Macaca mulatta: one gene and its partners. The protein of the gene in region 1 binds, or shares a complex with, the protein of each later gene. Links are inferred from orthologs where the notes say so. Each region holds a gene or a part of one and is shown in the gene's direction. Other genes may lie near its edges.

Region 1 (10,132 bases):
GTTTTAATTCAGGTTTAGAACTATGATTCATTCAAAGTTAATTTGGGGTTTGTTGTGAGGTGAAGTTTGAGGAGGATTGTTTTGCTTATGGCTATCCAGTTCCATCAACATTTGTTGGAAAGATTATCTTTTCCCTATTGGATCTACTTGGCACCTTTATCAAAAATCAGTTGACCATTTATGTATGAGTTTATCTCTGAATTTTCTGTTCTCTTCCACTGATCTATTTGTCCATCTTTATTCAGGTATTACATTGTCTTGTTTACTGAGCTTTCTGTTAAGGCTTGGAACCAAGTAATGTTAGTTCTCCAACTTTATTCTTGTCTAAAGTTGGTTTGACTCTTGCAGGTCCTTTGCATTTCTTTTGCATCAATTTAATAATCAGCTTTTCAAGTCTACAAAAAGGCCTATAAGTTTTTAAATGGTTGGTTTATCTTTTAGAGCAATTTTTTTTTTTTTTTTTGAGACGAAGTCTCACTCTGTCACCCAGGCTGGAGTGCAGTGGCGTGATCTTGGCTCACCACAACCCTTGCCTCCTGGGTTCAAGTGATTCTCCTGCCTCAGCCTCCCGAGTAGCTGGGACTATAGGTGCGCACCACCATGCCCGGCTAATTTTTATATTTTTTTAGTAGAGACAGGATTTCACTATATTGGCCAGGCTGGTCTTGAACTCCTGATCTAGTGATCCACCTGCCTCGGCCTCCTAAAGTGCTGGGATTATAGACTTGAGCCACTGTGCCCAGCCAGCAGTTTTTAAAACTAGGAAAAAAGGATCTTGTTACCCATGTAGTTGCTGATTCCAGGGCTCTTCATGTCTCTTGTGGAGTCTCTTCCTGGCTTCATATTGCTTCAGAAGAGATTTCTGCTTCCATTCTTATCTTCGTTCCTCTGTACGTGGTGTTTCTTTCATCTCTGGCTGCGTTTCAGTGGTGTTAGGAAAACTGATTATCACATTTATTTATGTAGTTTTTTGCACATTTATTTTGCTTGGAGTTCTTTGAACTTTTGCTACCGTTGCTCTTCTGTGGGAAAGACTTCCTTTCACTTTTCGTGATGTGTAGCTCTGCAGGGGATGCATATTCTCACCTTTTGTATGTCTAGAAAAGTCTGTTTCAGCTGGGCATAGTGGCTCATGCCCGTAATGCCAGCACTTAGGGAAGCCGAGGTGGGCGGATCGCCTGAGGTCAGGAGTTTGAGACCAGTCTGGCCAACAGGGAAAATCCCGTCTCTACCAAAAATACAAAAATTAGCCAGATGTGGTGGCATGCACCTGTAATCCCAGCTACTCTGGAGGCTGAGGCAGGAGAATCACTTGAACCTGGCGGGCAGAGGTTGCAGTGAGCTGAGATCGCACCACTGTACTCCAGCCTGAGTGACAGAGCGAGACTCCATCTCAAAAAAAAAAAAAGGAAAGAAAAAGTAAAATAAAAGTCTGTTTCATCAGAACAGGTTTCTGTGTTGACAGGATTTACCTTTCAGGCAATTAATGGTGTTGCTCTGCTTTCTTCCTGACTTCATATTGCTTCAGAAGAGATGTCTGCTTCCATTCTTATCTTTGTTCCTTTGTACATAGTGTTTCTTTCATCTCTGGCTGCTTTTCAGTGGTTTTAGGAAAATTGATTATCACATTTATTTATGTAGTTTTTTGCACACTTATTTTGCTTGGAGTTCTTTGAACTTCTGGCTCTGTGTGTTTATACTGCTTACTGAATTTAGATAAACAGTTGTACACCCATACAGTGAATACTGAGCAACAAAAAGTAATGAAGTATTTATACATGAAAAAACATGGATGAATCTCTAAATCATGACCTGAGTTAAAGAAGCCGGGGTAAACAGATAGGTACCATATGGATTCATTTATATAAAACTTGAAGATGCAAGCTGATCTATAGACAAAAGATTTGTGGTTGCCTGGGGATGGTGGACAGATGGATCGTTCTCAAAGGGGCATAGAGACTTTTGGTGGAAAAGGAAATGTTTTCTTCTCAATTGTGATGTTTTCACTGACAAATATGCCAGAACTCAACAAATTATATATTGTAAATATGTGCAGGTTATTCTTCGCCAATTATATATGTCAATAAAGTTGTTAAAGGATAAAAAAATGAAGGGTTTGGCCTGCACTTTTGGGAATCTGTAGTTGTCTTAGTGACCCATGTATGCAAAAATTCTTAAGTGTAGGTTATGGTGTTTTTCACCATACTGTTTTCAATACTGATGAAGTTTAATTAGCAATTCAGAAGTACACTTTAATTGGCTTGATGCATACAAAAGTGTGCAATTATAGGCCTAATGCTATTGATTGTTCAGTTTTGCTGCAGTGAATGTGAATTTTTATTTTAGAGACGAGATCTCACTCTGTCGCTCAGGCTGGAGTGCAGTGGTGCCATCATAGCTTACTCAACCTCCCAGGTCGAGTGATCCTTCCACCTGAGCCTCCCAAGTAGCTGAGAGTGCAGGCTGAATGTGAATGTTGAATGAATAAATGAATTGGTGTTAAACAGGCTAAACTGTCTCAGAACTGGTGGATTGTGCTGAAAGCAGTATGGCCTCTGACAGTGAGGTAAATCTTGGCCCAGATACTGCCATGAGGTGGCTATCTAGCTGAACATTTTAGTATAATTCTGAGAGTTGCATATTTATTCTCTCATTTCCTAGAATATACTAGCCAAAAAAAGTATGAGGTCTAGAAGGAGGAGGGAAAAAATGAAGTTTAACATGCCTATAGAAAAATTTACATGCCATGAATGTATAATTTGCTGCTGTTTTACACAGCAAAAGCACTCCTGTGACTAGCACCCAGATCAACAAATAGAACACCACCTAGCTCTGACAGCTTTTAACAGTTTAATTCTGGCCAGGCGTGGTGGCTCACACCTATGATCCCAGCACTTTGTGAAGCTGTGGTAGGAAGATTGCTTGAGTTCAGGAGTTCAAGACGAGCCTGGGTAACATAGCAAGACCTTGTTTCTACTAAAAAAAAAAAATAATTAGCTGGGTGTGGTGGTATGTACCTGTAGTCCCAGCTTCTTATGAGGCTGAGGCAGGAGGCTCACTTGAGCCTGGGAGATTGAGGTTATATAAGCTATGATTGTGCCACAGCACTTCAGCCTGGGTATCAGAGTGAGACCCTGTTTCTAAATAAATATATAAAAATAAAATTTTTCCTGGGCTAATTACATAAAATTGAACACAGGCCAAATGACCATGACTACAGAATTTCTAGTTTTGAAAAAATTTTTATTCTGGGATTATATATTATCAATATATAAACCACTGTCCTGTTTACTTATATTTGTAGAAACATAGCTTATATTTGTTTAATCAAGATTTTCCTCTTGGCAGTGGACTCCCGAAAAATTGACCAGGAAGGGAAAATCCCAGATGAAACTTTGGAGAAATTGAAGAGCCTGGGCCTTTTTGGGCTGCAAGTCCCCGAAGAATATGGTAAGTCAAGCAAACAAGCACCCAACCAGTTTAGCTCTTAAGAAAGCACTCTGAATTTGTCCATAAAAGGTCTAGTTGCTGGAATAGATGACACCTTCTGTCATGGGCTACATAGTAGGGGTGGACTGACTGAAGGACCTGTAGGGAGGAAGTGCTCTCGGGTCCTGTGCTTTTCATCCTAGCACAGAGGAATGAGGCATGTGGTCTGGCTGGCTGTAGAGTGCAAAGCACATCAAGGTGGGAGATTGGACCAGTGGGAACCTTTGAGCAGCGTCCTTTGTGCTATGGACTGTCCCTGTAATTCTTTGAGCATCCTAGTGATGTTTTTAGCTCCCAAGTGACGGTTCTACCTTATTAGAGTTAGCCAGTCACTACAACTTGCCTCCCTTATGCTTTTTCTCGAGTTGGTCACCTGAATTCTGCAGAGGTTAAAGGGACAGGCAAGCAGTGTGTGGAAGGCGAGGTAGAAAATGGTTCAAAGGGATAGACCACACACATGTGCCATTTGTGTTTACCCTCAGGCCTTTTGGATATAAAGTTATAAAGGCCAAGGATGCTGCTAAGCATCTGACAATCCGCAGGACAGACCCCCACAACAGAAAACAATACATTCCAAAATGTTACAGTGCCACAGTGGAGAAGCCTTGTCCTGGAGTCCTCTGGATACTGGGCAGTGGGACACACTATAGTTGTTGCATTTATAAAGACCTACAGCTGTGATGGAAGATCCTCGCTATGTGTTAATTGATTTGATGTGTGTGTAGATATCTTCATATTTAAAGTATGTATCTATATATGCTTGTATGCCTAGGAAAAGTGTGGATAGAAGGATATACACAGAAATGCACTTTCTGAGGCACACGATTGTGAGCATTTTTTTTCTTTTTTTTTTTTTTGAGACACAGTCTCGCTCTGTCACCCAGGCTGGAGTGCAGTGGCCGGATCTCAGCTCACTACAAGCTCTGCCTCCCAGGTTTACGCCATTCTCCTGCCTCAGCCTCCCAAATAGCTGGGACTACAGGCGCCCGCCACCTCGCCCGGCTAGTTTTTTGTATTTTTAGTATTTCACCGTGTTAGCCAGGCTGGTCTCGATCTCCTGACCTCGTGATCCGCCCTTCTCGGCCTCCCAAAGTGCTGGGATTACAGGCTGAGCCACTGTGCCCGGCCGCATTTTTTTTCTTTTTTGTCTTTTGAGACAGGGTCTCACTGTGTCATCCAGGCTGTAGTGCAGTGGCACGATCATAGCTCACTGTAGCCTTGAACTCCTCGGGCTCAAACAGTCCTCCCACCTAAGCCTCCCAAGTAGCTGGGACTTTTTTTAATTTTGTTGAGTTGGGGTCCTGCTACATTGCCCAGGCTAGTTTTGAATTCTTGGAGCCAAGCAATTCTCCCACCTCAGCCTCCCAAAGTGCTGGGATTATAGGCATGAGCCAGTGTGCCCAGCCCTCGATTTTTGTTTACTTTGTACCTTTCTGTATTGTGATTTTTTTTTTTTTGAGACGGAGTCTCTGTTGCCCAGGCTAGAGTGCAGTGGTGTGATCTTGGCTCACTGCAACCTCTGCCTCCCAACTTCAAGTGATTCTCATGCCTCAGCCTCCCGAGTAGCTGGGACCACAGGCACGCGCCACCACACTCAGCTAATTTTTATATTTTTAGTAGAGACGGGGTTTCTCCATGTTGGCCAGGCTGGTCTCAAACTCTTGACCTCAGGTGATCTGCCCACCTCAGCCTCCCAAAGTACTGGGATTACAGGTGTGAACCACCATGCCCGGCCTGTATTGTGATTTTTTTTAAAAAAAATGGTGATCTGGCATTACTTTATAATCAGAAGAAAAAAAAAAAAAACAATGAAGGCTTAATGGGAGGAATCTGGGGCTGGGCTGTGATTGACGCTGGTCCATGTCTCCTAGGTGGCCTGGGCCTCTCCAACACCATGTACTCACGACTAGGGGAGATCATCAGCATGGATGGGTCTATTACTGTGACCCTGGCAGCGCACCAGGCTATCGGCCTCAAGGTCAGGTGTTTAGGGATTCTGTGGTGCTCTCTGTAGGTCTTCTGGAGTCACATGGTGGCATAGAGGCCAGAGGCTTGCTCCCTCTGAATCGGGCCTGATATCTGACGTGCAGTCCTGCCCTTCAGTTCCCTCACTCTGGCCACACCTCGTGGTGCTCAGTCCCCACACACTGCCCACATGCGTAGTGGCCCTTGGGTTGCATGTCCCTTCCTTTTGAATCTGCCTCCTGTCCCCATTGCCTTTGATCCACCCTTCAAGGCCCAGGTGGGGTGCTGCTGTCTTCGCCTTGGGCTGGAAGTGGTCTCCCCTCCTGAGCCCTCGTCCCTCAGCCTAAGCGTGCCCCCACTCTTTATGCAAGCCGCCTTCCCCCCACTGGTCTTGAGCACCTTAGGGCAGGCCCAGGGCTAACTGCCCTTACTGGCAATCTCATTACTCAGATTATTTCTGCTTAATGTTGACATCAAAGAGAGCTGAATGCACACCATGCTCGGCTCCCCCACCCCAGAGAGCACATGCATTCATGCAGATGTTTGATGAAGAGGGGGCCTGTCTATGTGGCACTGGGAGGGCAGCAGGTGGGACAGCCCTGACATTGAGCACCTTCTTTAAGATAGGCTTGGTTCCAGTGCTCCTGTGTCTTCACATTTCATCATCCAGACCACCCTGCCAGTGGGTGGGAGTGGCCCAGTTTGTGGATGATAAGATGGAGGAGGGTTTCTTTGGAAAGGGATATCCTTTGCCCAAGACCACCAGTCTGGGAAATGAAGGAACTGATATGAAAGTTTTGGACACAGACTGCAAAGCACTGTGGGTCTCCGAGGCTCACGGCACTGGCACATGGGCCCCTGACAGTCTCCTCAGCAGCCTGGCTCCCTGGGCTCTGCCTGTGGCCGCTTGCTCTGAGTTTTTGCTGTCTTCTCTTGCCTGAAGTAAATATTTGCCTCAGAAAGGAAATGTTTCACAAACACACCTCATGCTCTCCTTTCTCCCCACAGCTGACATTAGTCTGTGTCTGTTCTGTTTAGGGGATCATCTTGGCCGGCACTGAGGAGCAGAAGGCCAAATACTTGCCTAAACTGGCGTCCGGGGAGCACATTGCAGCCTTCTGCCTCACGGAGCCAGCCAGGTCTGTCCCTGCACAAAATGTTATCCCTCAGCAGCTGTGACATTGCCCAAGACTCACTGGGGCAAGGGGGTGTTGGTTTTGTTGAGTAGCTGACTTTTCCTTCTTTCCAAAATCTTGCAGAGAATCAACTCAGCAACGGTTCTTGCCATTCCTCTTACCTTGACCTTATTTCTCTGTCCCAGTGAGACTTGCAAGTGAGATACCATGCTTGACAGCACTTACTAAATAAATTTTTGTGGTTTATAACACACCTTGACGTACAATACAGTAATAACGTTCAGGCTTCAAAGCACCTTTCAGAATATGTAGCATGGGTGGTACTGTTCCTGCTTACACATTAGGAGCTGAGGTTCATTGAGGCTGTGTGATCTGCTGGATGGAGCAGGGCTGCAGCAGGACTCGGGACTCCAATGATAAGTCCATCACCTGGACCATCCTCCATCCTGCTTCACTGTGCGTGGGAACCTGGGAACAACCATCCTTCCTGGGGTGCCCACAACTCATCCTCACAGGACCTCAGATGAGCCCATTGCAAGCACCCATTTCCATGTTTAAACCTAAGCCCAAGTTGTTTTCACTGCCGCTTTTTTACGTGATGTATTGAAGCAAAGGTCGGCTAAATCCAGCCTCCTGCCTGTTTTTTATAAATAAGTTTTGTTTGTTTGTTTGTTTTTGAGACAGGGTCTTGCTGTGTCACCCAGGCTGGAGTGCAGTGGCACGATCTCATCTCACTGCAACCTCCGCCTTCAAGTGATTCTCTTCCCTCAGCCTCCCGAGTAGCTGGGATTACAGGCATGTGCCACCATGCCCAGCTAATTTTTGTATTTTTAGTAGAGATGAGGTTTCACCATGTTGGCCAGGTTGGCCTCGAACTCCTGACTTCAAGTGATCTACCCACCTAAGCCTCCCAAAGTGCTGGGATTACAGGCATGAACCGCCATGCCCAGCCCAGTTTTATTGGAACATGCCCATTGTTTTATAAATTGTCTTCAGCTGTGTTCATGTTTTTTTTTTTTTTTTTTTTTTGAGATGTAGTCTCGCTCTGTTGCCAGGCTGGAGTGCAGTGATATGATCTCGGCTCACTGCAGCCTCCGCCTCCTGGCTTCAAGCGATTCTCCTGCCTCAGCCTCCTGAGTAGCTGGGACTACAGGCATGCACCACCACACCCAGCTAATTTTCGTATTTTTAGTTGAGATGGGGTTTTACCATGTTGGCCAGGATGGTCTCAATCTCTTGACTTCGTGAACCACCTGCCTCAGCCTCCCAAAGTGCTGGGATTACAGGCGTGAACCACCATGCCCGGCCTCATGTTCTATTAATAGCAGCAGAGTTGAGGAGGTGAGACAGACATCCTGTAGCTTGTAAAGCTGAATATGTTATCTGACCCTTCATTTTAAAAGTTCGCTGACCTCTTAAAAGTACTAGAACCTCCATTTTCAGGCTCTCAAAAGCATTCATATTCCCAGTATTCTCCCTTGACCACATCTTTCTGCATCTGCAGTGGGAGCGATGCAGCCTCAGTCCAGAGCAGAGCCACGCTAAGTGAAGACAAGAAGCACTACATCCTCAATGGCTCCAAGGTAGGGCTCCTTCCCCATGGCCACGTCAGGATCTCAGTCACGACCTTCACTGCCACTGAGTGAGCACTCTCCACACACCAGGGATTGTACCTGCTGCTGTAGCACTGACTGCCTTCTTGAGCTGCTTTTATGTGTTTGTTTTTGATTTTTTTTAGTTTTTTAAATTTGAGACGGAGTCTCTGTCACCTAGGCTGGAGTGCAGTGGTGTGATCTCAGCTCACTGAAATCTCTGCCTCCCAGGTTCAAGTGATTCTCCTGCCTCAGCCTCCTTGGTAGCTGGGCTTACCCATTCTTGGCTAATTTTTGTATTTTTAGTAGAGATGGAGTTTCACCATGTTGTCCAGGCAGATCTTGAACTCCTGACTTCAAGTGATCCGCCCACCTCGGCCTCCCAAAGTGCTGGGTTTACAGGCATGAGCCACCGTGCCCGGCCTGTAAACCCGAAAAATCTTTAAATTTTTTGTTACACAAAATTTCAGACATGTTCTGTGTGCCTGGCTGGCCCCAACTCCGGCAGTCACCTGCTCATGGCCACTGTGCCTCTTCCAGCAGCATTGCTACCTCCAGATCGCATGGTAACAATCACAGCATGCCTCTCTAAAAGACAGGAGTTTTGTTTGTTTTTTTAAATAAAAACAAAGCTGTAATATCCTTATCACATTTTAAAAATTGATAATTTCTCTTTTCTTTTGAGATGGGGTCCTGCTCTGTCACCCAGGCTGGAGTGCAGTGGCACAATCTTGGCTTACTGCAGCCTCAACTTCCTGGGCTAAGGTGATTCTCCTACCTCAGCCTCCCAAGCAGCTGGGAGTACAGGCATGCAGCTAATTTTTTTTGTATTTTTTTTGGTAGAGATGGATTTTCACCATGTTGCCCAGGTTGGTCTCAAACTCTGGGGCTCCAGCTATCTGCCCACCTCGACCTCCCAAAGTGCTGGGATTACAGGCATGAGCGACTGTGCCCAGCTGATAATTTCTTACATCTATCAGCATTCAAATATCCCTGATTGCCTCATACCTTTTTTTGGTTTAACTATGTGCTTGAATTAAGATCCACATGAGTCCCATCTGTTGCGGTTTGTTAAGGAGTCTGTTTCTGCCTCTAACTCCCTTTGTTTCCTTTCCTCCTCCTCACCACCCTCCTGCCTTCTCTTTTTTCATTTCTTTTTAGAATTAACAAATAAATGTTGTGTGTATTTAGATGTGCAACATGATGTTTTGATATATGTATACCTTAAGAAATGATTAAACCCTTTCTTTCTTGAAGAAATGCAGTTGTCTGGCGGTGGAACCTGAGCTGTTTGACAACTTTGGATGTTCTTTCCCCCCTCCACCTCCACCCTGGCCATCCATGTCCCTTGGGAAAATCCTTGGTGTGGGCAAACTGGGCTGAGCCCTGTCCTGTGTTCACTCATGCTTGTTTGGCTTCTGCAGAGCCAAGGACCCTGCATGTCTGGCCTGAGGTCTGACTGATCAACAAAGACAGAGCTGAGATGGGTCACATAGGGGTTTGGTTTTCTCCAAAGTCCTTCTTTCTGTCCTCAGGTCTGGATTACCAATGGAGGACTGGCCAATATTTTTACTGTGTTTGCAAAGACTGAGGTAGTTGATTCTGATGGATCAGTGAAAGACAAAATCACAGCATTCATAGTAGAAAGAGACTTTGGTGGAGTCACTAATGGGAAACCTGAAGATAAATTAGGCATTCGGGGCTCCAACAGTAAGTAGCTCGTGTGTGCGTGTGTGTGTGTGTGTGTGCGCGTGTGTGTGTGTATGTGTGTAAGGGGGAGACTGGCCCTTGACTCTGTCCAAATAGCAAGATAAAATGAGATTTAAATACTTTCAGTTTTTGTTAAGCATTTTAAAAAGATCAAACTAAGAATGCCACATGGGCTTTGTCTTTGTACCCACAGCTGAGTGCTGCTCACTTGAAGACCTGCTGGTCATCCCCTGCTGTAGC
Region 2 (10,651 bases), on another chromosome or scaffold:
GCAACTGTTGAGGAAAAAAAAAATATCCAACAGGGAAACAGAAGAGCCTTCTGTTGATAAAACTGAGATCTGTAAAAATGCGAAGAGACTAGAGTGAGAGAAGTAGAAAGTAATGTCATAAAGCAAACGAGCAGTTAACATGGGGTTTGAGGAACAGTAGTTTCAGTTTATCCAAGAGCAGTCCAGAATGGCACCTAGAAATGGGCTTAGTGAGATGTCACACCCATTCCCAATTCCCACCATGGTTGCATGGTATCAATAAAAGAATCTCCTCTCTCTTTGACAACAATATACTAAATAAATACCAAATGAAAATCCATCTTATGAAAATTTCACACTTTAATGAGAATATGTTCAACAATGAATAAACACTTAGCTCAGTGGGGATAGTTATTATTTAGAATCACATTAAGTCTAGCTCTTTCATCATGTCTACCACATGAAACAATGAAGAGAGAAAAAGACTCAAGGTGACAGAGGACAGTGATCCCTGCAGAATAAATCTAGGTTAAACTTAAAAATACTGTTCTTATATTAGGTAAACAGTAGAGATAGTAAGCATAGCCAATGAAAAATATAACACACACATTATAACTTGTTTGGCTAGTTGTCTACAATATTCAAGAATATGTATCATAATACTAACAGTTTTAAGAGATTAAAAGCAAGATACATTGTTTCTCTAGATCAGTTTATAAGGAAAACTATATAACATATACTTTGGTATCATAGAAATATACATTTGTTTTTCTAATTAGAACTTGTTGATTCCTTTAAAAATTCAATCTGTCAGTCAATTTATCGAAGATAGAAAGAAGAAAGGGAAGGGAGGCAAAGGAAGAGAGAAAGAAGTAGGCAAAGGAGGAGAGGAATACTTCTAAAGTATTATAATTTCAGCAATGTATCAGCAATTTCTGTAACAGTTTTTTAAAAGGAAGAACTTTTAAGAAACTCAGTTTATGGGGTTTAGAAACATTAAGTCCTAAACTTTCTAACTAAACCTGCTTAGTTAAGTTATATCTAGAATATCAACTGAGCTTCCTCCTCCTCCTTCCTATATACCGTTTATCTCTTTCTCTCTCTCTCCCTCTTCCCATTCTGTCTCCCTCTCACTCTTTTCCTCTCTCTCTCACACACACACACACACACATATGTGTTTAATTCCATTATTAGTTCAAAATAAGGTAATCCAAAAGAAACTGTCTAGAGAAATGGTAGAAAGAATAAAAACACACATCAACTTAAATATGTCAAAGAGCCATATCGTTTATTGGCTACACTCCCAAAACCATTCTTGTTCTCGATAAACCAATTGTGTCTGGTCTGGACAGGTGTGGCTCCAAAATCTCATAGAGAGTTTACTTCTGTCAGTGGTAATTATTAGAAACAGCAGGGGGAGGAAACAATCTCAATCTTAAATCCCAGTGTGCAGAAATCACAGTTCTAGGTAAATATCAGCTTGGATAAAAATTATAATCACTGAGGCATCTCAGTGATTATAATTTTCCTCAACATCCCTAACAAATCCACAGGTAGAAGAATTAAACACCATGCAGAGATAAGTTCCACTTTAACCTGCAATTCACCCAGAGCTTTAGTTTCAGACTGTAGCAACTCACGTAACTGGACAACATTTGGATCTACCTTAGTCCAGTATAGCAGAGTTCAAGGATGTCATATAAATTTTGATTCAAAACTCTTGAGAAACTCTTTACAGCTGATCTCACCTGCCATATCATGTCAAAACAAAACAAAACAAAACAAAAACAATCCCAAACTAAGATCCTTTGGAACAATGTTAACCTGGGCTGCATCTAAGCTAAACTGAATCCCCAAGTTCGGATTATAATCAACTATGCTTCAGTAATTCACTAGATCTTGATCAATTCCAATAATAAAAGTTGTTGAGGAGGGAGAAAAAAACAGGAGTTTGCCCCATATGGGGAACTTGACAATCATGTTATTGGATAATGCATATATCTGGAAAAGCACAATAGTCATGAAAGTTGTGCTTTATCACAAAAGTGAAGATTTACACTAGAATAAATCCAAATAAGAAATTATTTTTAACCAAAAGATAAATTATAAAGCTATAATTTTGTTCAGTGCAAATGAAATTACTTTGCTACCTTTCACAACTCTGTAATTAGCTTGATAAATATTAAACCCATGAGGAAGAGCTCCACTGTACAAGTTTTTTTAAAGACCGCTTAAAAGCAACCTTTAACAAGCTAAGAAAACAAGCTAGAGAAGATTCCAAATCTGCGGTACTGAATCTATTCTTATTACCAATGGTGATATAAACAACCTGATGTATGAAATCGTAAATATCTATCAATAAATACTATAGTCTTACTTCCTTTTACTTTAGCAAGATATTACTGAATTATGTACCACTGAAACTATATTACAATAAAAATTTCCCCCAAACTGAAGCAAAATTTTACTCTCAAATGGAATATAGTTTAAATTACAAGTACCAGAACCAACAAAAGGCAGAAATATTATATAGCAACCTCATAGCCCACCTTTCTTCTTGACTGGCATTCTTAGGTCTTTCCACTGCCACAGAATTCAAGATCTCTTTTCAGGTCTCAGTTTGATCCAGCTGGTTTGAGGCCAAGAGCCAGGTAACTGTTGCAAACCACTTCACTGCTCAGTTTTGAAATCCAGGCTGAGTCTTCTATGTCAGATAAAGAAAGTAATGATGTACTTTTTCCACAACTAAACTTTTTACACCGCCCACAGAGTTTACAGAAACGTAATTTTTTAGTTTTTCAAGTTTTTCAATGTTCAGAAAATATTTAGACTGTTTTTACAAACTGGGAAAATTATTGTAAACATGAAGAACGTTACTGAAATTCCTCTTCAGGCAGCAACATTTTTGGAAGTTCAATGACTAACTCATTTAAGGCACAAACCAAATTTAGACAGCTGTCTCATTACTTTATACATGGTCAAACTGAAACATGATGAAAAAGATCCTCAAATATGTAGAGAAAAATTTAACCCCACCTCCCAAAAAATACTTTTAAAAACCTCTTTGACTCCAGTCTCTAAAAAGATAGGTGAGTTTGAACAGTTTTCTGTGGCAGAACACACACCGAAAGGCCCCCTTCTATTTACTGATCAGAAGTTCCGGATCTCACCCCCTCAGTAACTCAGAATCCAGCTTGCTGTCACTTTCATTTTTTTCTTCTGTGCTCTCCAAGCCCCCAGGCTTGATCCTTAATGCACCTCTGATTCTGATCCTCCCATGTATTAACAGAGAGGATTGAAAAAAAAGGAAAGCAATCCCTTGGCATGGAGACATTAAAGTGACAGTGCTACTCAATGGGCACTTGATGCAGGATGAGTTGGCGAAGCAGATTTCTTCACACTGGAGTCATTCACATCATGCCATCTCTTCGCATCCAAGCAGCTCCCTATCCGGCGAGGAAAAACACTGAGACTTCGAGAGAAGCCAAACCTTCCCCCAAAGGTGTTTTCAGAGACGCCGTAGTAGTATTAGACATGTAAGCATAAGCTATGCAAACGGTCCGCGATTTCCTCAAAATGAAAAAGTGCAGCTGCTTGGCTTTCACATCCACATCCTTTTCTCTCAATCTCTCTTCAAACTACCCACCTTCCTTTTGCAGAAAAGACAAGACATTTCTCTGCCACCGCTGGCCACCCCTGCCCAAGCCCCGTTCTTTTAGGGAAGAGCACTGAAATGTCCTGCACCCTCCACGCGATGAAGTGTTTCTTCAGGCAGGAGCAACAGCAGCACTAGAAATTATATAACTCTCGAATTTGGCTTCTCTAAGACATGGAGACTGGAGGGTCGGGGGTTGCCGGTCTGGGAGATACTGCTGGGCATTTAACGTGCACAAAACAGCGCCAGGCCTTGCAGTGCCCCCCACCCTGAGACACGACTGACAAGTGGGTCTTCTCGGGGGGTAGTGGGCAAATTTCTCTCCTGTCTCCTTCCAAGCGGGGCTAAAGGATGGAAATTGAGGGGACTACAGACTGGGGAGAGGAGTCAGACGGCTGAGAGGGGAGGAGGCTAGTCGGGGCTGCTCTGACGGCGCTGGGCGGCTGGTTGGGGGTTTGGAGGAGGAGGTGCCCGAGAAACAGAGCTTTAACACCACACGGGCCAGGGCAAAGGGGCGAGTTCCCTCAAGGACTGAAAGGGGCAGGCAGCTAGTTCCCAGCTACCAGAGGTGCCCTGAGGAGAGGCAGGAGCGCAGTAACATTCCAGCATTTGGGCCGCCCCATCCTCTCCGCAAGACGCGAGGAAAACAGGGAGCTAAACTGACAAATAGCAAGGGAAGGAAATACTCTGCTGGCGATGGGGGCGGACCCACAGGCACCTGGACCTCCTCTAAGCGAATAAGTGGCCCTAATTTCTAGACACCGCGCCCAATCACAGACAGGATGGAGGGCGCGGCTTTTGACTGAGGGGGGCGGGCCCGGGCTGCAAGCGAGAGGCATGAGCCGTAAACCCGCCCCACTTCCCGCCCACCAGCAAATCACGTGAGCCATCAAAATGGCGGTGTTCGGGTATGAGGCTGGGGCCAAGCTGAGGGATTCAGGTGTGGTGCCGGTGGTAACTGAGGAAGCGCCCAAGGTAGGCGGAAATCCGAAGTGGTATGGGGGGTGATTTCTGCAGCTTCAGAGTGTTGGCAGAGTCTTCCAAGATGATACACTTAAAGGAGATTTGAAAAGTTAAAACAGCCCCCAAGTCCATGCAAGGAGCAGTCGATTAAGTCTCCAGCTGTTGTGGAAAGAGGCGGAGAGAACGTAGATTACCTAAGTTCTAGTACTCATTATCTGCGGTTTGTTTTCTCTTGTCTCCAGGCCTTTGCACAGGCTTTTTCTTCAACTTGGAATATTTCCCTGCTTCTATCCGTCCCAACTCCCCTGCCAAATTGTTCTCTTTAGGATATTGGTTTAAATGTCACTTCCTCCGGGAAGCCTTCCCACGCCTCCTCTGGCTAGATTAAGTTTGCCTTTTCTTAGGTTGTTGGGTTTTTCGTTTATGTCACTCTCTCATTCTGTGTTTAAATTGCCAGCATTTTTGTTCTGAACTCCCACTACATTGTGGATTCCTGAGGATGGGATGACTGTATCTTGATTACTCGGAGGCCTGGCATATACCAGGTGCTCCCTAAATTATGAGAGAATACTGAATAAAATTCTAAAGTTGAAATTTATTATTAGGTGAAAAATGTATTATTAGGTGAAATAATACACATGAAAGCACTACAAAACCGTTAAATGATTTGCAAACTATAATCCACTCTTACTGGTATAAGCGTGGTGACTAGTTGAGTGGCCTTAAGAGGGGAGGGGTGTAATGAAAGCAGTCGATTCTTTGACAGTGCCTTGCAAAGCTTAAGCACTCAATAATATTTCCTGTGTTCTTTTCAGTATTTGCTATCCTGTAATCATAATCCTGGGTGTCTGCTTTCCCTATAGAGAGTTTAGGGTGTAGACTAGGTAGGAGATTAGTAGAAGATATTGCCTGGAAGTTTATTTTGTTTTTTGTTTTTGGTGGAAGGTGGAGGACTTCAGTGAATTGGATGAGAGCAAAACAAAAATTTATGTAAGGTTTATGGTTACTCATGTTATTGACATCTGCCATCTTAGTACAATAGATGGGTTAGGTATAGAATCTCCCTTAGATGTTACTATCCCTTATACTTTCCATTTGGGTGTCCAGGAGAGGAAAAAGATGTAAGTCTAGTCACTGAAAAATTGTAATTTGTAAAATATTTTACTTTTTTTTCCCCCTGCCCTCTCCAGAAATGTTACAGAAAAAGATTGAGTACAATTCTGCGATGATGCAGAGAAAGAAATTGGTCCATTATTACTCATTGTGTAATGCCATAAGAAGGTTCAAAGAAGCTCATAACTTACGTATGTTGATGCCAGGAGCCGTGTATAATCAACTGGCCCTTCTATAGTTAGGATTGGTACATACCGCTCATTCAGCAAATGAGTATTACGGTAATATTCAATATGTGTCCATTGACTACAGCATCAAAAGCACTCGGTGCTATTAAAATGCAGATTCTAGGCCTCATCCTACTCCTGCTGAATCCAGATATCTCAGGAGGGAGTTCATGAGACTGCATTTCAAATAAATACCCCATGTGATTCTTGTGCATGCTGAAGGTTGAGAACCACTGATTTATGAAGTATTTTGTGTATTCATTATGCTTTATCCCCTCTAATCCTCTTGTCTAGGACTCCTTAACCTTGAGATTTAGTATTTGCCTTCAATATAAACGTTAAAATTGAGATTAGTGTACATTTGTAAAGAGGCTATTTGGCTAATCTGGAGGAAAAAAAGTAAAAAGCAGTGAATTTAGCGGCAATAGACTTTCCACTTGGCTGCTGTAGTAGGTAAACATTTGCAACTACATGTTTGGATTTAACAAATGTTATTAAGACTTTTCACAGAAACTCTAGAGTCTTGCCCAGAGCAAAACATTCAGAAAGGATCCTGTCTGAGAGTGCAGGGTTTGTTTTCTTGTTGTTGTTGATTTGTTTTGTTTTTTAATCTCTCTAGTTTCTGTTAAGATGCTACTGGCCAAGTCTTCATGGTCCCTTGACATTGGCAGCTGTCTGTTCATCACACTTGGGACACAAGAACCTTCCAACCAAGGAGCCCAGTGCTGTGGGTCTCTGGGGCCCGGCGCGGTGGCTCACGCCTTTAATCCCAGCACTTTGGGAGGCCGAGGCAGGCAGATCACTTGAAGTCAGGAGTTCGAGACCAGCCTGGCTAACATAGTGAAACCCCGTCTCTAGTAAAAATACAAAAATTAGCCAGGTGTGGTGGCAGGTGTGGGTCTCTGCTATACTACATAATCATTTCTAGCAAAGGCTCTGCTTCCACCACAGGTGGTAATAGGGAACTGGTTATGTAATTTATGTACTTCAAAGTAGTAGCCACAATCTACTGCCTGTTCCCTTCCTGAAGCAGTGTCCCTCTTTCTGATTTTTCTCTCTCACTGTTCTCCAAGGCAATCCCTGCTCTCTCCTACCTCTCTAGGAAATGAAACACGATTTCCAAAATGAACTCAGTCTTTCATGAGAAACTGAGGATAGAGATGTCAATAAGCAGCCATTGTTTCCACCTCCCCACCTGAAGAGCTAGGAGGACAACTACAAAGGGCCTGACTGCCTTCTCAGAATGAGGAGAGAGGAAAACAGAAACAGTATCAGTATGTTATCCCTCTAAACTAAATCTTAAGCAAGCCAACCTTTCAGACCCTCAGTTTCTCATCTGTATAGAGATAATCATTATACTACCAATTTCTCAAGTTAGTGTGTGAATCAGAAAGCCAATGTCTGTGTGTTGTAGGATGTTTAGCAAGAAAATAAAAAATAATAACAAAAAGCCAATGTCTAACAGATAATAAGAGCTCAGTAAATGTTGATTGAATTATTAACAAAATATGTGAAAGCAGACAACACAGTACCTGGCACACTACTAAACTGTAAATGTTTTCAAATCTGAATCTGTAGAATTCTGTAAGGTTTTATGTAATATGAATATCATTAGCTATTATGGCTCTGGAATTTTTTTTTCCAGGATGTCAAGATGACAGCATCTATGCATGGTCAACCCAGTCCTTCTCTAGAAGATGCAAAACTCAGAAGACCAATGATCATAGAAATCATAGAAAAAAATTTTGACTATCTTAGAAAAGAAATGTAAGAGAAATACCCAGGCTGAAAATCATTTTATTTGCAAGTCTTTTGTATTGCCATTGTTTCTGAGATCCTATTCTTTGTTATCCTATTCTTTGAGTTGGTTATGAAGAACACATCCTTAAAAAAAAGAATGAGGGAAACAAGAACAGATGAAAATAGTGGTTTGTTGGAATATTTGGGATTGTGGATAATTTCTTTTGTTTCTTAAAAAGTATCCAAAAGTATTGCTAAAACATTTGTGCAGTAAATATATTTTAATTAAAAGTAAGAGAAAATCATTGGGGGGGTACTTATATTTAATTGGTGAGTAATTATAATCAGTTAAGGATTGATTATCTCAGCCACAGTACTTAGTACAGCAAAAGGGAATACAGATTTCATAGTATAAATACAGTCTCACATTAACATATTGACTTTTTTTTTTTTGAGATAAGAGTCTCACTCTGTCACCCAGGCTGGAGTGCAGTGGCACAATCTCGGCTCACTGTAATCTCCATCTCCCAGATTCAAGTGATTCTCCTGCCTCAGCCTCCCAAGTAGCTGAGATTACAGGCGTGTACCACCACACCCAGCTAATTTTTGTATTTTTAGTAGAGATGGTTTCACCATGTTGGCCAGACTGGCCATTTTGACGTTTAAATGAATGGAGTTCAAGAATAAGAAAACTAGATCAGATTTTTTTGGATGAAATTTTCTAAATCTTGGACAAATTATTTTAAATGTATCTGGGACTAATGCAGAAATAGAAGGCCTAACCAAATGTAAATAGCTTTTTTTTAGATGAACTTAAGCAAAGTAAATCTTTTAGTTGCAGGAAAGGTATTCTTCGATTTGGGTAACTCATAAAATTTGGCTACATTGGAGCATATTTATATTTATTTGTGACCAAAATTATTTAAAAGAGCTCTATTTTAGAACTACTGTAAATATTCTCAGAAAGAGAATCATGTCCTCTCATTGGAATACAAGTTCTATGAGGGGTGGGAAATTTCTTTCCTTTTCTTTTTTTCTTTTGCCTTGTTTACTGCCCTATCTTAAGCACTTAGAAAATACTTTTCACATAGTAAGTGCTCAAGAAGTATTTCATATTGAGTAAATATGCAATAACAACTTTTTAGGAAAGGCTGTATCCATTAAGTTCAATGTTACAGTGAACTGAATTTTTCTTTTTTTCTATTAGGACACCAAATATATATCAAACGACGTCATTTGGAACAACAGCTGGTTTCTCTGGAATATTCTCAAACTTTCTGTTCAGACGCTGCTTCAAGGTTAAACACGATGCTTTGAAAACATATGCATCATTGGCTACACTTCCATTTTTGTCTACTGTAGTTACTTACAAGCTTCTTGTAATTGATCCTTTGTATTCAGGTGAATTTAAATTCACTAATGTATAATGTAGTTTTGTCTAAGTAAAGTTACTGATTAACAGATGCTGTTGCTACTGCTAATAATAATTCTTTACATTTATATAGTGCTATACAGTTTACAAAGTCCCTTCATATACCTTGTCGTATTTAATCCCTGCAACAGTCCTCCTAATGAGGTAAATCGTATTTTTTTCTTTTTGTAGATAAGCAAGCAACCCAAACTGAGGCATGTTCAAGTACACTAATAAACAACATACTGGGAAAAGAATTGACTGTGGCATATAACAAACATCATTTCAGTATCCTACCTCCTGCCACTTAAGTTTTGTGACATTCAGCAAGTAATTTCATCTCTGAGCCTCCCTTGTCTTATCTATGAATTAGGACTAATAGTACTCACCTCACAGGATTTTGTGAGAATTAAAAGATACTGTAGGTTAAATGACTACCACAATATCTGTCATATTATGGGCTTTTAATGTTATTTCCTGCCCTTCACCTTACCTTGAGTTTCACAACTAGTAATTGATAGAGCCTCTATCCATCATTCATTCTTCAGGTCCCTGCTTAAGTATCTTTTCCCCAGGGAGACCTCTGATTCCCTCATTGTACATTAGGTGTCTAGATACATTCTCTATATAGTTTATCTTCAAAGTATTGTGTACACTTATAATTATTTAAATATTTATCTCATGTCTTTCATTACTGTAAACTGGCCAGAACATCAGAGATCAGGTGTCTTTTATATACCACTGTATTCCTAGCACCTAGCACATTCCTGATACATAGTAGATAATAAAAATGTATTAACCTAGAATCCAGGTCTGGTCTGCTAGTTTAGTATTCTGTCATTATAAAATTGCTTCTGGCTGGGCATGGTGGCTCATGCCTGTAATCCCAACACTTTGGGAGGCCAAGGCGGGCAGATCACTTGAGGTCAGGAATTCGAGACCAGTTTGGCCAACACAGTCTCTACTAAAAATAGAAAACCAGTTGGGTGTGGTGGTGCACGCCTATAATCCCAGCTACTTGGGAGACTGAGGCATGAGAATTGCTTGAACCCTGGAGGCAGAGGTTGCAGTGAGCCGAGATCATGCCAGTGTACTCTAGCCTGGGCAACACAGTGAGACTCTGTCTCTAAAAAATAAAATAGCTTCTACAACAACCACATATGTTAGAGGTAATTCTCTATGTGATAAAGTACAATAAAAACTTTTTTAAATGTGCTGCATTTAGCCTGTTATATGCCACAGAGTTTGAATTTCTGATATTCTTTCTATGGTTTAGTTGTGGTTGAGGATAGTGCAGATAACTACTCTGAGGTACAACACTGTCTTAATAGTTCTTGAGTTTTAAAGGAAAACCAAATTTACTTTTGTTTTCCAGAAAATATAAGCAAGGAAAACTGTGTTTTCAGAAGTTCACTGATCGGCATAGTTTGTGGTGTTTTCTATCCCAGTTCTTTGGCTTTTACTAAAAATGGACGTCTGGCAACTAAGTAAGTTGTTCCTTTTCCTTCTTTTTTACTTTTTTTTTTTTTTTAGGTTAATAAACTCTCTTTTTTCTTTAGCTGT
Region 3 (10,723 bases), on another chromosome or scaffold:
CTCATAAGAAGTTAATCTTTTACTAGATGTAATTAGCAACCTCTCATTTACCATCATTTCCCAGTTGCTCCTGCACTTTCTCAAAGTCCGAACCGCCTACCACTCCGATTTTGATCTTCTGCCTCAATTTTTGCAGGAAGTCATCCATTTCTTTGGTAATTTTCTAAATTTCAAGAAGGAAAATACAACACTCATAAGCCAAAAAATAATCAGGAGACTAAAACTCTAAGGGTAACACAAGTACACAAATCTTATTTTCTTGTTTAAAAATTAAAGAAAAAAATTGTTTTTGACATAGGGTCTCACTTGTCACCCAAGCTGGAGTGCAGTGGCATGGTCATAGCTCACCGCAGCCTCGACCTCGACCAGGGCTCTGGTTATCCTCCTACCTCAGCCTCCTGAGTAGATGGAACCACAGTTATGCGCCAGCACACCTGGCTAATTTTTTTATATTCTGTAGAGACGAAGTTTTGAGGCCAGTCTGGAACTCCTGGGTTCAGGAGATCCACCAGCCTTGGTCTCCTAAAGTGCTGACATTACAGGCATAAGCCAGGCCTATAAGCCTTATTTTCATACATGCCAATTAAGTTACCAGCTCTCTACACAGTTCAAATATTTTAGTTGTAATTGGGAGGGAGGCATCTTTACCAGAATAAACTTAAGTGTTATTTTTACCACATTTTAAACACAGGTAATATGTTAGTAGCTGTTGTGCACTGTGCTAGCTAATTTTTTACGCATTTATATACCCATCTATGGGCACATATACAAATAGGTCTTATTTTTGAAACATAAATGGAATCATTCTATGTCCTTTGCAGCAACTTCGCTTTCTCAGCAACTTCGCTTTTTCAGCATGATGTATTCCTTTTAAATGCTACACTATACTCCATCTATGGATTTAAGTTGTTGATTTTAAAACAAAATAACATAATGAAATTAAAGAGGAAGCTCAGGGCCAGGCATGGCGGCTCACGCCTGTAATCCCAGCACTTTGGGAGACCGAGGCCGGTGGATCACCTGAGGTCAGAGTTCGAGACCAGCCTGGCCCACATGGCGAAACCCCATCTCTACTAAAAATACAAAAATTAGCCGGGTGTGGTGGCACGCGCCTGTAGTCCCAGGTACTCGGGAGGTTGATGCAGGAGAATCACTTGAACCTGGCAGGCGCAGGCTGCAGTGAGCCGAGATCGTGCCCCTGCACTCCAGCCTGGGTGATAGAGCGAGACTTCGTCTTGATAAATAAATAAATAAATAAATAAATAAATAGGAGAAGCTTAGAACTGATTTATTGCAATTACTCAAAACAAAAAAAATTGGAAAAGAGTAAGATGACTAGATTTTTTAGTCTCTTCTAAAAGCAAAGCTCCTATCTAGAAAGAGTGGTCTTAGTGGTATGACTTTATGGTAAATTCCAAACTGTGTGATAATTTTTAAAAAGTTATAAACTAAGATGAAAAACAGCCCTACATCAAGACACATCACAATGTATTTTTACAAGTCTTATAACTCAGTACTTTGAGCAATCTTAGTTGAACATTTACACTGAATGTCTATTTTTTTTTTGTGACACGAAGTTGCGCTCTGTCGCCCAGGCTGGAGTGCAGTGGTGTGGTCTTGGCTCACTGCAACCTCCATTTCCTGGGTTCAAGCGATTCTCCTGTCTCAGTCTCCCAGGTAACCAGGACTACAGGCGCCCGCCATCACGCTCAGCTAATTTTTTGTATTTTTATTAGAGACAGGGTTTCACCATGTTGGCCAGGCTGGTCTCGAACTCCTGACCTCAAGTGATCCGCCCGCCTCAGCCTCCCAAAGTGCTGGGATTATAGGCGTTAGCTACCGCGCCCGGCTGAATGTCTTTTTTTTGAGACAGAGTCTCGCTGTGTCTCCCAGGCTGGAGTGCAGTGTCGCCATCTCCACTCACTGCAAGCTCCGCCCCCCGGTTTCACGTCATTCTCCTGCCTCAGCATCCCGTGTAGCTGGGACTACAGGCTAATTTTTTGTATTTTTAGTAGAGACGGGGTTTCACAGCATGAGCCAGGATGGTCTCGATCTCCTGACCTCGTGATCCGCCCGCGGCCTTCCAAAGTGCTGGGATTACAGGCGTGAGCCACCGCGCCTGGCCCTGAATATCTTTTTTAAAAAGTTACTAGAAATTTAGAAAATACAAAAAACCATTTAATTCACCGTCAGTATATAAACACTTGGAGTTCAATGATTTTTCTTTAAAAAATTTTTTTAGAGTAACACATGAATCTGATTAAAATAAAACTGCATAGAAGGGCTTGTAATAGAGTGCAATCTTTTCTACTCTCACAGTGGAATTTGAACCTATTAGACAAAATCTAGAACTGCAGGAGTGGCCCTTAAGAGTCAGAACGCAGTGGCTCATGCCTGTAATCCCGGAACTTTGGGAGGCTGAGGCAGGTGGATCACAAAGTCCGGAGATGGAGACCATCCTGGCCAACATGGTGAAACCCTGTCTCTACTGAAAATACAAAAATTAGCCAGGCGTGGTGGCGGGCGCCTTAAGTCCCAGCTACTCAGGTGCCTGAGGCAGGAGAATCGCTTGAACCTGGGAGGCGGAGGTTGCAGTGAACTGAGATTGCACCACTACACTCTAGCCTGGCGACAGAGTGAGACTCTGTCTCAAAAAAAAAAAAAAAAAAAAGAAGAGTCAGAACTGTGAAAATCAGATCAGAAGCACTTTCCTGAATGGCATACCTAGTAACTAGGACAGCTTCCACCTTAGCACAGATAGGAAATGGCAAACTTGACAGGAACCAATGTCCTGAGGCTCAGGGGCTTGTACCAGGTCGGCTGTGTGAAACTGAGGAGGTTAGTTCTTCACTGAGTGTGTTTCCTTATGTTTAAAAAGGTAATAACAACTATCCTACCTGGAAAGAAAGATGAAGGAAGGTTGAGAGGGTCCAGCGAAATCATGAAAAAGGGTTGGCAATGTAAACCCTAGACCGCTATGGCCCACAGACCACACTGGGCAGCTGTTTGTTTCTGTAACAAATAAATACAGTTTTACCGGTACACAGCCACTCTGTGTTTACATAGGGTTTATGGCTGGTTTTGTACTAAAGTTCAGTGGCTACTATAGACCATATGGTCTGCAAAGACAAAAGTATATGCTATATGGCCCTTTACAAAAAATGAATTGGGGACCGGAGTATTAGACCACTATGGGCTTTTAACAACCCCAAGTGTGTGATAGCTGAATTTCAGAATCAGAAAAAGCCTTTGAAGAACTTGGGAGTTGAGTGTCATCACTAGGTAGATCAAACCTGTGGCTGACAAGGGCAAAATGATACGTCTAAGGTCACACGCATTTCACGTGGCTTTCTGGAGCACACCATTGTTACCACCAAGCGAAGACTACGAGGGGTGAGGATATTAGTTGAGGATAGTGAGACCATTGGGGTCCACTCTCAAGTTGAAATGGCCGGTTGTCAGTGGCCAATTTCTGAAAAGGGGACAGGAAAGCCTCATCTCAAGGCTGATAGTGACTGAAACTTATCTGTGCCTGTAGCAGCAAAATCTGGAAGTGGAAAGCAAGTTTCGAAAGGCCCAAAGAGGCTCTCAGCGGGCAGCCTGTAATAACCTAGGGCTCCTCCATCTTCCTAGTCCACTGCAGGGGCTGGAGATGGGTGTGGTGGAGGTGGTTACTATTTACTGAGGCCTAGTGTGCTGTGTGCAACATACTTTCAAGAACTTACACAATCTCATTTGATCCTCACAGTCACCATATGGAACACGTAATATCCCCATTTAAAGCTGTAGATGCTGAGGCTCAGAAAGGTTAATGACTTGCTCAAGGTCACACAGCTGTGAAGAGGTGAAGATGAGACTCCACTAGGTCGATTTCACCTGGAAACCTGTTTTTAATATAATGACTCACGGCACAGCCCATTGGTTACAGGATTGAGGCCGGCAAACAGCTGATAAGGGGCACACAGCTGATGTCGGGTTCAAATCCTGGTCCATCGGTCCCGAGGACTAGCGGTGAGTCCAGATTGCATTTTCCAACCAAGCATAAGTTTCCTTCTCTTAAGAGTTCTTCAGCCCCGTCTCATCTTTCCAAGCATCAGAGCTCTTGAAGAGCTGGTTAGGGCCTCCCTCTCATCCCTCCAGGGCACCTAGAATAGGGTCCAGCCCCCGTGAGGACGCAGGCGGTCCTTAGCCAGCCCTTGGCGCCGACCCTGGGTAGTCGATAGCTCCAACTGGGAACAGCACGGACTCTGAGTCGGCTGCCACCAGCCCGCCGGGCGCCACTTACCTGCCGCGGGGCGGTGAGGGTCCCATCCACGTCGAAGAGGCAGAGCGCTGGGCCAGGAGCTGCCATGTCCCCAGCGTCTAACCGCACCTCGCAAGACTCATTGGCATCAGGAACTCGGCCCGGAACTTCCGAGTTCGGCCCCCGAGCCGCAGGGCACGTCGGGAAGAGGAGGAGACTCCGTTCCCACAACGCCTGGGACTAGCGCCAGCCACGATTCCTGGACCGCAAATCCCAGGGTGCAACGCGGATCACGCCCGCCTTGTACATTCGAGCATGCGCTCTTAGAGGTTCCGGGGGCCGGTGGGACTTACTTCCGGCAGCAGGCTGTGGAGCCATGGTAAGGAGGCTGGTGGCGATCCTTGAGGGGGTGATGCTCTTTGGGGGTCGGTCGGGGTCAGAGCTGGGGCAGGCAGGCACGACGCCTGAGTTTCGGACCTGAAGAATCCGTGGGAGGAAGCTCTGGCGTGGGTTACCATTCGCCATTCCCGGGCTTTCTCTGCCCTCCTTGCGTCACGTGCTCACAGTAGTAATAGCTAAAACTCGCCGAGCTCTCACAGCGCATCAGGTACTAAGTTGAGGGCTTTGAAACCATCTTCTCGTTCACTGTGTTCTGAGTCCCCATTTTGAAAGCCGAAGAAACCGAAGCTCAGGGGTGTGGAGTGATTTGCTCAAGAATCCACAGGTAGTGACTGATGGAGCCAGAATTGGAACCAGAGCTTTTACTGCTTCACTACCCACCTAATAATATGTTTGTGCTACGTGTAGGGGCCTCCCTGCCTCGCTCCTCCTCCTCCTCGTTGTTTCCCCTTCCCCTGACTAGGTTAAGGGAAAGCAGCAGTTCCCTCCAGCACCCAAGATAACGTAAACAGAATTAGAAAGTTTGTTGGGATAACTATCTCACAGATTTGTTGCTTGAGTTCCCCACTAAGACATTGATTATTCAGTTTCCTGCTTGGGGAAATGTTCACACCCCCTTGTGGATCCATTGTCCAGCCCAGAGTTGGGACTCCCTAGATATGTTTTGAATTATTGATGGCCGCACCTCCTTTCTTGTATTTCTTTGGAATTGCCTGATGGAAGGAGGACTCTGCTGCACTCACTGACTGTGTGTTCTTTGGTAAATATCTTACCCTCTCTGGGCTTAGTTTCCCTAGTGGTAAAGTGGAAATAGTGATAACTATCTTAGATAGCTGTTGTGATGCCCACATGAGATAACATCTGGCTTTACCCTTCCCTCCTCTGGCAATAATGGTGACCTTGCAGGATTGGCAGAAGCCTTGGAGTATGGTGCTTTGCAGATGTTCACCGTGTGATTAATGTGGTTGAATTCCATGAGAGAAATCGTCTACTGTCTCCCTTTCAGGCTGCCCTTCTCCGAGTTGTGCCTAGATTTCGGGGAAAAGCTGCGTGGGAAAGGCCTCTCCATGGGTTGTGGTGCTGCAGTGGGCAGGAGGATCCTAAGAGGTGGGTGGGGAGCAGGTCACCCACCTCGAAGGAGAAACCACCAAACCAAGAGACTGAGAAATTCTGGATGTTTTACCGTTTTGATGCCATCAGAATCTTTGGGTTCCTGTCTCGACTGAAGTTGGCACAGACTGCCCTGACAGTGGTAGTTTTGCCACCAGCCTGTTACTGGTATTCCCAGGGCCTCCTGACTCTCAACACCGTGTGCCTGATGAGTGGGATATCGGGCTTTGCCCTGACCATGCTGTGCTGGATGAGCTATTTCTTTCGGAGACTGGTTGGTATCCTGTATCTGAATGAGTCTGGCACCATGCTGCGGGTGGCCCATCTGAGCTTCTGGGGCTGGCGGCAGGACACATACTGTCCCCTGGCAGATGTGATTCCCCTGACAGAAACCAAGGACCAGCCTCAGGAGATGTTCATGCGTATCCAGCGGTACAGCGGGAAACAGACCTTCTACGTCACCCTGCGCTATGGACACATCCTGGACAGAGAGCGTTTCACGCAGGTGTTTGGGAGACATCAGATGTTCAAGTAAACAACTGGGGCCTGGACCTCTGGGTAACCCTGGGTCACCTGGATTGACAGGAAGGCTGAGGGTGTGGGCACAGCTGAAGAAAGGGGATTGGGTACTTGGAGACTTTGCCTGGGCCCCTGGGAACATGTGTTTTGTGATGAAGAAATTCACAAGGCAAGAGCTGGTGTCCAGGTTTAGGAAAAAGGCTCTAAGCAAGTTCTTACAGCACTCGTGTGTGACATTCAGTCAGATAACGGCCAGAAGTTTTTGTTAAGAGCCAGTTCTTAGAAGAACCTATGCCAGGGTCACCCAGACAGTCCATTGGTGTGAAATTGAAAGGCAAAGAGGTGTGGTGGGGGAGCATAGGATTTGGAGTCAGAAGTCTCAGTTCTGTCACTTGTCCTGGGGTGGGTTATTGAGTCTCTTTGAACCTTGGTTTTCACATCTGTAAAATGGAAAGCCCTGCTTGTTTCGTGGGATGGATGTGGGAATAAATGTCAAACGTGTGGCAGACTCAGCAGCCTAGAGCAGATAGCATTAAGCATTTGGTCAGAGGTTTTGGCATGGAGAAAGGCTTCGAGCAGTCAGCAGGGACTTCCAGAGCCCTGTGCTGTGCCCCTCACACATCCAGCAGCAGAAAGGTCTGCCAGGATGTTAACTACACATCGATGAGCAGCGATGTCGTCCAAGTGAGCACGAAACCCCATTTGAGATTTGTTCACCACGCTGAGATCTAGAGGCTCTTGCTTTGGATGGCCCTGCAGTGTAATAAAGCCTAATGGACCGTATGCTGGTACGTTCTTTTATAAACTAAAGCCAGTTATATGCATTGCCCTGCATAATTAATAATACATGTTCATTATGCAATTTGTAACACAGTAAAGAGGAAGGAAGGCATGATCTTTATTATTTTGCCACTCGAAAGTCAATAAGAATGTTTTATTGCCGGGCGCGGTGGCTCACACCTGTAATCCCAGCACTTTGGGAGGCTGAGGCGGGTGGATCACGAGGTCAGGAGATCGAGACCATCCTGGCTAATGGTGAAACCCCGTCTCCACTAAAAAATACAAAAAAAAATTAGCCGAGTGTAGTGGCAGGCACCTGTAGTCCCAGCTACTCGGGAGGCTGAGGCCGGAGAATGGCATGAACCTGGGAGGCGGAGCTTGCAATGAGCCGAGATCGCGCCACTGCACTCCATCCTGGGCGACAGAGCGAGACTCCCTCTCAAAACAAAACAAAACAAAAAATAATAATGTTTTATTGTGTAGCCTTCCATTTTTCTTTCTTTTTTTTTTTTTGTGAATTTGTTTTTATTGGGGAACAGGGCACAGGGTGGAAGATGTCACCTTGGGCTATGGTGTGTCCCACCTCCCAGAGAATGTCCATTTGCATTCTAATCTTCCTGGGATGCTTTATGGAACTTTTTCTTCTTCTTGGAGCTGCTCTTGCCAGCTGCCTCTTCAGGCCCACTGCTGACTGGCTCCTCTTTGGAGAATTTCCTCTTTTTCTTGGAGCCACGCCTTCCATTTTTCTTAACCGTACCAAGATACACCTAAAATTTATCCTTTTACTCATATTTAAGAGTGTAATTCAGGGACATTAAGTATATTAACAGTGTCGTACAGGCTGGGCGCAGTGCCTCACGCCTGTAATGCCAGCACTTTGGGAGGCTGAGGCGTGTGGATCACTTGAAGTCAAGAGTTCAAGACCAGTCTGGCCAACATGGCGAAACCCTGTCTCTACTAAAAGTACAAAAATTACCTGGGCATGGTGGTGGGCACTTGTATTCCCAGCGACTAGAGAAGCTTGAACCCGGGAGGCAGAGGTTGCAGTGAGCTGAGATCACGCCACTGCATTCCAGCCTGGGCGACAGAGCAAGACTATCTCAAAAACAAACAGAACAGAACATGTTGTACAACCGTCACCACCATCCATTTCCAGAATGTTGTCATTAACCCAAATAGAACTAAGATACCTATTGAACAATAATTTCCTTCTTTTTCCAGCCCTTGGCCACCACTAATCTGCTTTCTGTCCCTCTGGATCCGCCTATTCTGGATATTTCATATAAATGGAATCATATAATATGTGACCTTTTGTATCTGGCCTTTTTTTGGAGATGGAATCTCCCTATGTTTCCCAGACTCGAGAGCGGTGGCGCAATCTCTGCTCACTGCAACCTCCGCCTCCCCGGTTCAAATGATTCTCCTGCCTCAGCCTCCCAAGTAGCTGGGATTATAAGTGCCTGACACCACGCCTGGCTAATTTTTGTATTTTTAGTAGAGATGGGGGTTTCACCATGTTGGCCAGGCTGGTCTCAAATTCCTGACCTCAAGTGATCCCACCCACCTCGGCCTCCCACAGTGCTGGGATTATAGGCGTGAGCCAGCACAGCTGGCCTGTATCTGGCTTCTTTGACTTGGTGTAGTGTTTTCAAGGTGCATCCATGTTGTAGCACGTGTCAGTGCTATTTCTTTTTTATGGTTAAATACATTTATGGGTGCAGTGTATATTGTCTGTATATACCACATTTTGTTTGTCCATTCATCTGTTGGACGTTTGAGTTGTCGTCACCTTTTGACTGTTAATGAATGAACATTTGGCTATTGCTATGAACACTGGTATACAAGTATCTGTTCGAGTCCCTGCTTTCAGTTGTTTTGGGTACGTACTGAGAAGTGGATTTACTGGATCCTGTGGTAATTCTGTTTATTTTTGAGGACCTGCCACTTTTCCACAGCGGCTGTACCATTTTATACGCTCACCAGCAATGGACAAGGGTTCCTGTTTCTCAACATTCTTGTCAACAGTGGTTATTTTTCCTTTTTTTTTTTTAATTTGAGATGGAGTCTCGCTCTGTCACCTAGGCTGGGTTGCAGTGGTGCGATCTTGGCTTACTGCAGACTCCGCCTCTCAGGTTCAAGCGATTCTCCTGCGTCAGCCTCCCGAGTAGCTGGGATTACAGACACCCACCACCACACCCAGCTAATTTTTCTCTTTTTAGTAGAGACTTGGTTTTGCCATGTTGGCCAGTCTGGTCCCGAACTCCTGAACTCAAGGGATCCACCTACCTCGGCCTCCTAAAGTGCTGGGATTACAGGTATGAGCCACCGTGCCCGGCCCTTCACTTCGATGCTTCTATCCTGTGCTTCCATCCTTGCTTTACTGGAGTCCATTTTCGCAGCTGTCAAAGTGATGCTTAAAAACAGAATCACATCACTCTGCTGTGAAGGCTGATGGCCTAATCCACCCTCCCCTTTCCTCCCTCATCCGCAACTCTGTGGAGATCATTCCCCCAGGTCACGATGGCCTTGCTCTTCTCCAGTCATCAAGAATATTCCAGCCTTAAGGCCTTTGCATTGACAGTTTCCTCTGCCTGGAAGGCTTTCTCCCTAGATACCTGCAAAGAGAACTAACCGCCTCCCCTTCAGTGTCCTCTCTGTATAACGGAGTTTCACTATTTATGCTCAAGAAGTGTAGTGAATATTCAATTATATAGAAGAGAAATGTGCATAGCAGTTACACGTGGCTATTCATTCCTTCTGTACCTTGCCTTCACCTGCCTATCAGTTCTTCAGTGATTGTGACTCCCTTCCCCATGAAGACATAAAGCCTGTGGCTAAAAAATGTCTTAAGAAGTCATAATGATTTGACCTTAACCTCATTAAAACCAAAAATTCTCTCTTTGTTGGGTTGTAAGTAATGACCTGAGTGAACTTCACCCCGGGATATTCTGATTATGTCTGGGGTGGGTCCCCAGGATCTGTCTTTTTGACCGGCTTGAAGCCAATTCTGAGCTTCAGGCAGGCTGGGAATTTCTGAAATAGACTACTAGAACAGAAGACACCAGAGTGACACATGGTTCTGTGGACTTTGTGTTCCTGGGCCAATTTTCTGCCCAAAGAATAGGTTCTTAACACTGGCTTTATGTGTAGAATCTCCTGGAGAGTGTTTTTAAAACCCCATTGTCAAAGCCCATGACCAGGCATTTTTATTTTCACGGTTCCCTGGGTGATTCTAACGTGATTGACCATCGCTGCCCTTGAAGTATCACCACTCTGTTAAGTCTGCAAGGGGCTTGTCCTGGGAGGTGAGACCACAGATTCTCACCCATGCAGGCATTCAATGTGTGGTCTGCTCACGCAGTACCAGCAGAGGGCACACAGAGCAAATGCATTATTCTAACCCTTTATCCCTAAGCTGAAATCACAGATCTCCACCAGACAGCAGGAAATGTGTTACGGCTTCCGTCATGCACCAGTAGGGTAGTACCTGAGAGCTGCCCCCAAAAAACCAAAGTCAACAACAAAAGCAATAAAAGGCCAGGCACAGTGGCTCACATCTGTAATCCCAACTCTTTGGGCGGCCAAGGCGGACAGATTGCTTGAAACCAGAAGTTCGAGACCAGCTTGGGCAACATGGTGAAACCCCATTTCTACTAAAAATGTGAAAAATTA

What was found. Proteins that work in one complex are often made in the same cells at the same time.
Region 2: ACAD9 (region 1) and TMEM126B share a complex: the UniProt entries of both Homo sapiens proteins name them as parts of the mitochondrial complex. The link is inferred for Macaca mulatta from reciprocal best matches to the Homo sapiens genes ACAD9 and TMEM126B.
Region 3: ACAD9 (region 1) and TMEM186 share a complex: the UniProt entries of both Homo sapiens proteins name them as parts of the mitochondrial complex. The link is inferred for Macaca mulatta from reciprocal best matches to the Homo sapiens genes ACAD9 and TMEM186.

Annotation. Positions count from the first base shown.
Region 1 is NC_133407.1:155,071,299-155,081,430, reverse strand, and holds part of ACAD9 (complex I assembly factor ACAD9, mitochondrial), read left to right. Parts: intron 1-3,312; coding exon 3,313-3,450; intron 3,451-5,360; coding exon 5,361-5,467; intron 5,468-6,492; coding exon 6,493-6,593; intron 6,594-8,094; coding exon 8,095-8,173; intron 8,174-9,717; coding exon 9,718-9,892; intron 9,893-10,132. UniProt on the Homo sapiens protein: As part of the MCIA complex, primarily participates in the assembly of the mitochondrial complex I and therefore plays a role in oxidative phosphorylation.
Region 2 is NC_133419.1:86,217,364-86,228,014, forward strand, and holds the start of TMEM126B (complex I assembly factor TMEM126B, mitochondrial), read left to right. Parts: upstream 1-4,522; 5' UTR 4,523-4,528; coding exon 4,529-4,609; intron 4,610-7,582; coding exon 7,583-7,704; intron 7,705-8,884; coding exon 8,885-9,078; intron 9,079-10,463; coding exon 10,464-10,575; intron 10,576-10,651. Other genes in the region: DLG2 (disks large homolog 2), read right to left, coding at 2,529-2,547. UniProt on the Homo sapiens protein: As part of the MCIA complex, involved in the assembly of the mitochondrial complex I. Participates in constructing the membrane arm of complex I.
Region 3 is NC_133425.1:10,018,132-10,028,854, reverse strand, and holds TMEM186 (transmembrane protein 186), read left to right. Parts: upstream 1-4,594; 5' UTR 4,595-4,619; coding exon 4,620-4,622; intron 4,623-5,648; coding exon 5,649-6,287; 3' UTR 6,288-7,054; downstream 7,055-10,723. Other genes in the region: PMM2 (phosphomannomutase 2), read right to left, coding at 52-163, 4,286-4,351. UniProt on the Homo sapiens protein: As part of the MCIA complex, required for efficient assembly of the mitochondrial complex I.